Mus musculus: one gene and its partner. The protein of the gene in region 1 interacts with the protein of each later gene in a pairwise test. Links are inferred from orthologs where the notes say so. Each region holds a gene or a part of one and is shown on either strand. Other genes may lie near its edges.

The links.
Region 2: the proteins of Hsd17b14 (region 1) and Srek1ip1 interact in binary tests that used the Homo sapiens proteins (3 or more experiments, as listed by UniProt). The two-hybrid records come from large-scale screens. The link is inferred for Mus musculus from reciprocal best matches to the Homo sapiens genes HSD17B14 and SREK1IP1.

The regions. Positions count from the first base shown.
Region 1 is NC_000073.6:45,553,554-45,557,819, reverse strand, and holds the start of Hsd17b14 (17-beta-hydroxysteroid dehydrogenase 14), read right to left. Parts: upstream 2,893-4,266; 5' UTR 2,842-2,892; coding exon 2,754-2,841; intron 1,766-2,753; coding exon 1,727-1,765; intron 1,508-1,726; coding exon 1,425-1,507; intron 213-1,424; coding exon 146-212; intron 1-145. Other genes in the region: Plekha4 (pleckstrin homology domain-containing family A member 4), read right to left, coding at 3,793-4,055, 4,139-4,251. UniProt on the Homo sapiens protein: Catalyzes the NAD(+)-dependent oxidation of L-fucose, yielding L-fucono-1,5-lactone, which rapidly converts spontaneously to L-fucone-1,4-lactone. Can also act on D-arabinose and L-galactose, with lower catalytic efficiency. Does not use NADPH.
Region 2 is NC_000079.6:104,836,636-104,839,231, forward strand, and holds the end of Srek1ip1 (protein SREK1IP1), read left to right. Parts: intron 1-729; coding exon 730-913; 3' UTR 914-2,041; downstream 2,042-2,596. UniProt on the Homo sapiens protein: Possible splicing regulator involved in the control of cellular survival.

The DNA.
Region 1 (4,266 bases):
GCCTGGTCTACAGAGTGAGTTCCAGGACAGCCAGGGCTATACAGAGAAACCCTGTCTCGAAAACAAACAAACAAACAAAGAGGAAGGAATGGGGTCAGGGTATAAGTAGATGCAGGGACCCTAGCCCCCAAGCCATACAACTTACGGTAGCCAGCGTTATTCACCACACAATCCAGGTGACCAAATCGAGAGAGGGTCTCAGAAACCAGAGTCTGAGGAGAGAAGAAAGAGCAGGTGATGAGCTGAGAGGTGACAGTAGTCTTGGAAAAGCCAGTAGGCCCAAGGCAAGGATGGGCTCAGCTGAGGAAGACAAGGTGGAGCGAGGGGGAGAGGGGAGGATGCAGGAAGCTGAGGACCCAGACTAAAAGAACTAAGGGACATAGTGCAGTTGCCGTTTGTCACAGCTAGTGTTTCTATCACTGTGATAAACACCATGGCCAAAAGTGACCTGGAGAGGAGAGGATTTATGTCTGCCTACAGCTCCCAGGTCACACTCTGTCACTGAGGGAAGCCAGTGACAGAGGGCTCAAGACAGAAACTCAAGGCAAGGACTGAAGCAGAGGCTCACTGGCTTGCTCCCTTGGCTCGTTCAGCCCCTTTCCTTATACTCTCCAGGCCTCCAGGACCACCTGCCCAGCGATGTCACAACCCCCCAGGGAGCTAGGGAAACTCCCACACCAACCACTAATTAAGAAAATGAGCGCCTTTAATCTCAGCACTTGGGAGGCAGAGGCAGGCAGATTTCTGAGTTTGAGGCCAGCCTGGTCTACAAAGTGAGTTCCAGGACAGCCAGGGCTATACAGAGAAACCCTGTCTCGAAAAAAAAGAAAAAAAAAGAAAAAGAAATTGAGCAGGGCAGTGGTGGCACATGCCTTTAATCCCAGCACTTGGGAGGCAGAGGCAGGCGGATTTCTGAGTTCAAGGCCAGCCTGATCTACAGAATGAGTTCCAGGACAGCCAGGGCTACACAGAGAAACCCTATCTTGGGAAAAAAGAAAAAAGAAAATGAACAGCAGGTTTGCCCACATGCCAATTTGGTGGGGCCATTTTCTAGTGAGATTTCCTCTTCCCAAATGACTGTAGCTTGGGTAGAGTTGATATAACACTTATCAGCACACCACCTTAGAAAACTTTGGAGAGGGGTGTGTGTATAAGGCAGAGCCTCAGAAGGAGGGTCTACAGACCCTGAGGGTGGTGGGGAGCTGAGATACACAGACAGAGAGACAGAGGCCCAGACTGGGGCTAAACCTGGAGGCACATAACAGATTCTGAGTGCAGGGAAGTCAGAAATTTGATACAGGAAGCAAGTGTTTTGTTCATTCCTAAAGATGGGAGGGAGAGCAGGGCAGAGGGACTGAGCTGTCCTGGGCATGGGTAGCTGGAAAGAGGGACTGGAGACCAGGTGTGGGACAGAAAACACTCACCTGCAAATCTCTTTCCTGTGTCACGTCACCGGGGATAAAAACAGTGCCCGAGAGTTCCTGCTCCAGAGCCCGGCCCCCAGCCTCTGCAGGAGAAAGATTTTGGGTCTGAGGAAGGAGAGCTGAGGCTTGGACACCAGAGTCTGAGGGTAGAGGGCTAGGGAAGAGCCCTGGATGGGAGGGAAGAAAGCCAGGACTTGAATTCCTGGGTCCGAGGAAGCAGAGCTGGGTTCAAGGGAGGAGAGCTAGGCGCGGATCCCTTTCGATGGAGGAGGCAAGGGAGAATCGAACACTGAATCACTCACCATCCTTGTCACAGAAAACCACTTGAGCCCCACTGTCCACTGCCAAAAGAAGAGAACAAGGTTACAAGCCCTGCAGACTTTCCTCACCATCTCTGGTGCCCTCTGCTGGCCACCACCCAGAGCACCTGCCACTCCAGCGGCTCTTGTGACTGGCTTCAGTCCTCTTACAAGAGCAGAATCTTGCAACAAATAACCTTTTTCATTAAGCTGCTGTTGGCCCCCATCCTGGATTCTAGAAAAATCCCAAACCGATAGGCAATAATACTCTCAAAGCTATCATTTGCAGCTAGGAACCGATCCAGGGAAGATTTTTTTTTTTATTTTTATATTTTTGAGACAGAGTTGCTCTGTATGGTCCTGGCTGTTCTGAGCTCACTCTGTAGATCAGGCTGGCCTAAAATTCAAGAGATTCGCCTGCCTCTGCCTCCCAAGTGCTGGGATTAAAGGTATATGCCACCACTGCCAGGCCAGTGGAAGAACTTTTTTTTTTTTTTAAGATTTATTTATTTATTATATGTAAGTACACTGTAGCTGTCTTCAGACACTCCAGAAATGCCAGATCTCATTACAGATGGTTGTGAGCCATCATGTGGTTGCCGGGAATTGAACTCAGGACCTTCAGAAGAGCAGTCAGTGCTCTTAACCGCTGAGCCATCTCTCCAGCCCAAGGAAGAGTTTTTAATGACCAACCTATCAGCAAAGACCCAACAATCCAAATGGACTGAGGGACTGGAGAGATGGCTCAGCAGTTAAGAGCACTGGCTGCTATTCCAAAGGACCCAGGTTCATTTCCCAGTGCCCATATGGCAGCTCACAACTGTTTGTAACTCCAGTTCCAAGGGATCTAATACTCTCAGCCAGATTCAACAACAATGCAGAGGAAAATAAAAATAAACAAATCATTTAAGAACAAATAAATCATTACAGAAATGAACCTGAGTCTCCTCCTCCCACTCTGGGAACCTCTGTCAGTCATCCTTTCTCTCCTACAACAATTCAGACAGCAGGCGGGAAGACCCTTACTCACCGAAGGCTCTCACGATCGCAGCCCCGATGCCCCGGCTGCCTCCAGTCACCACCACCACCTTCCCAGAATATCGGGTTACTGCAGCCATCCCCAGCTGTATCCCACGCCCTCTGGACCTCTTCCCACCTCCACAGTCCAGAGAAGCAGTGGGGTGGAACCAGATATACAGGCTGGGTCACTGAAGGCTGACCTTGGGAGGGGGTGTTTCTAGGAAGGCACACCTGGGAGAACTGAGGACTCTCCTTCCTAGCCCTTCTTTTTCAGTCCCAGGGTACCCAAACTGACAGTCCTCCTTCAGACTCAGGGACCCTCACCCCAGCTCTGCCTCCTCAGACTGACTTCAGCCTTGCTCCCTTTGACTTGTTTTTTTTGTTTTGTTTTGGTTTGGTTTGGTTTGGTTTTTCGAGACAGGGTTTCTCTGTATAGCCCTGGCTGTCTTGGAACTCACTTTGTAGACCAGGCTGGCCTGGAACTCAGAAATCCGCCTGCCTTTGCCTCCCAAGGGCTGGGATTAAAGGCGTGCGCCACTACACCCGGCTTTTTTTCTTTTTTTTTTTTTTTTCCTTTGACTTGTAAGACCAGGGCTACTTCTTCTGGCTTGATTCAGGCTCCAGCCTCCTCCCTCAGACCCATATTGTTTGTTTGTTTGTTTGTTTTTCGAGACAGGGTTTCTCTGTATAGCCCTGGCTGTCCTGGAACTCACTCTGTAGATCAGGCTAGCCTCAAACTCAGAAATCCACCTGTCTCTGCCTCCCAAGTGCTGGGATAAAAGGCGTGTGCCACCACTGCAGATTGGGCCCTTACCCTTGTTTGTCAGAACACAATGTCACAACCACAGAGAGAATAAAAGCTATTTATTGACTAATAGTTCAAAGTTTTCATCCAATTTTGGACAGTGTTGGGAAAATCAATCTTTGACCATAGCGGCCCTGGCCCTCCTAGAATACATGCTGGAATGAACCTCTCCCCTGTGGTCCTGAATGGTCCCACACCTCAAAGTTGTGCTTCCAGCTTGTAGGGCTCAGTATAAAGATGGGAGTCAAAAGCTGGACTGCAGCAGAGTGACTCTGAAGGGCCATGCCCCCTCTTCCTGGGTCAGAGCTGGAGGGGCCTTCCCAGGGTCCCACCTGGCCTCCCATGGGGCCAGGCCTCTCCGGCTGCCTTGGCATGAGAACCCTGTGGTAGCAGAAGTAGCCTTGTGAGGAGCTGGGGACGAGGTGACCTGGGGCAGTTCTTCACTGGGAGGCTGTGGGCTTGGCTGGAGACAGTCTCCCCTGGTATCCAAATTTCTGCCTGGAGAGGCTAAAGGGATAAGGAGCAGTGTTAACTTAATCACGTGACATCCACACTTCCAGGCTTCCTCCCTCAGAGCCTGGGCGCCTCACCTGCCATCAGCCTGTGCCACTGGGAAGCCTCTGTAGCTAGAGCCTGGGAGAGGCTGAGCACTCGCTCCCGGTGGCCTCCAGGTACTGGTGAGCAGGTTGCAGAGTGCCTGGGACTACAGAAAATAAGC
Region 2 (2,596 bases), on another chromosome or scaffold:
ATCCCAGCACTTGGGAGGCAGAGGCAGGCGGATTTCTGAGTTCGAGGCCAGCCTGGTCTACGAAGTGAGTTCCAGAACAGCCAGGACTACACAGAGAAACCCTGTCTCGAAAAAAATCAAAAAAATAAAAATAATTAAAAATAAAAATAATTAAAAATAAAAAAATTTTTTAAAAGCCCCCTTTCTGTAACTAATAAAAATCTCTTGGAAATACAAGTGCTCATTTCCATCACTCTGCAAGCAGGAGGATCAAGCTCATTATGAAAAATGACAGGAATTGCAGAAGTGCTTTTATTTTGTTAATTTTTAGCTCTTATCCATTCATACTGAGGAACAATTAGGATCCTTTTTATATTGAGCCATAATTGCATCCTTTTGTGAGTTAAGAGAACATGATAACAAGTGATTACATACACGAGTGGGCTGCGTGCATGAGGTCAGTGACCTCTGCTTCAGTCTCCCCTGTGAGATTCTGATAGGCAGGGCAGGGAGCACAGTGTGCAAGCCTGTGGCAACCCAGGAAAACACCTCAGTTCTCTAGTGCTAAGCAGAGAGGAGATGGTAGCTTTATCAGCTTCCGTGACCAAGCAGCGAACATTGAATGCTGCATTTAAGGAGAATAGAAGGCAACTTTTTAGTATCCGTGTTCACTCCTCTTCTCCCAGACCTGAGGCAGCGCAGATCCTACACAGTTGATGTCTCCAGTCACAGCAGTGTTCTTGCCCATAGGTCTTACTCCAGTGCCACTGAAGAGGACTCCGCAAAACAAAAGAAACAGAAGTATCAGAAAAAAGAAAAGAAAAAGGAAAAAAAGAACAAGTCAAAGAAAGGAAAGCATCACAAAAAGGAAAAAAAGAAGAGAAAAAAGGAAAAGCGTTCTTCCCCTTACCATTCTGAACTCACCAAAAAGTAACAGCGTCTTGGGCCTAACTCAGAAAATTCAAGAATTCAGTGTTTTTAACTGTTGAGCCTTCCTTGGAAGTGCTATGTGATTACACTTTGCAGGAAGTCCCAGCCTCTTCCATAAAGACATTCTCACCTATTGGGGCCCTTCTCTCTCTGACCATCTGTATTAAACCCATCTCTTTACTTAGCAGATGTGCCTCAAGTATAGACATGCGTACTTACAAAGCACATCATTCTTTTGGTGGCTTAGGCCGGTGCTGTCCCTCGGTAAGTCAATTAGCACGTGGCTTTACTGCAGTCACAGGAATGATCTACTTAGCAGCTCTGAGTCGTGTCCGCCTTCCAGTGGCACAGCTGCCTCGGCAGGAGTGATTTGCTCTTGATACTGAATAGCTTTATGTACTCTGTAATGTATAAAGATAGTGAGGGTCTTCACTGTTGTTTTTTAAATCTCTAGACTTTCTAAAATAACATTGAGGATAAAATTGCTTTACTGATCTTAAGTAGTAAGTTTTTAAATGAATGGGATCTACAGGAAGATAATAATGAAAGTATTTATAACAGTGCCGTTGTTTTATGAAATGCATGTTTCTGGCACTTGCCTCCCATGTTTTTATAACAATTAAAACATCCCCTTTTTTAAACAATCATTTAGGTTACTAGGAAGTCTGGCAGAGAGATTCTATGCTAGTCAAGATTATTAGGGTAGATCCTGGGTTGATTTACAAATGTGCCATATTGGCATGTCTTAGGTGATACCTCAAACACAGAGCTTTTTGTGTGGTAGCAGCAAAATCCTCATTAAAACTGATTTTAATTGTATCCAGTGTATATGATGCCTACATATATTCGTGTTATGATAGTTTTTATGAATGTGTGCATATATATATTTTTTTTCTGAAATGGTTTTAGAGTGAGTTTCACACTGAACTTCTGGCTCATGGATAATCAATGTTGATATTTCCTCTTCCACGTCGGTCACAGATCTTAGTAGCACTGTGAAAATTTTTAAATTAAGATTTCCATTCTGTACTTTTTAAAATTGACGACTTGGAGATAGCATCGTGAAAGCCTTTGTGTAATAATGAAATTTGTATATAAATAAGCATTTTCAATGACATGTCAGTAGATTTAAGTGTCTCTGAGGTTTTTAATTTCATGGTTATCAGTATAGAGTAGTTTGACATCTAATAGTCCCTAATACCACCAAGTTAATGCATTATGCCATAAAAACATTGATCACCAACCTGCTATCATCGAACAGCCCCGAAGCCTCCGAGTACCTTGCTATGGTTCACTTCATACATCTTCAGATTGGTAAGTGCACGTGTGGCTGCGGGCAAATTTATGGCCATAAAATGAGATGCGTACACTTGGCCTTGCAGGCTGGAGGGCTTTAGCAATTGTTCCCTTACCCAAACTGACATTCCCTGATTGACTGAGGGGTAGTCCTAGGAAGTCCCTTAATGTACCCTCATCTCTGCTCAGGTTACACAGAAGCTACGCCCACACCCTTCCCTACACTGCTCCCGTGAAGTACACCTACGTACGTACCTTCAGCTCTTCCACTAACTGGCTACTCTCCTGGCCCATAAAAAAAGTAATTTTGTTTAGAGTTTTGTCAGTTGTTTGAACTAAAGCACAGAACTTTAATATTTAGGGATTTGTTTTGTCTATGCTAATTTTTGTG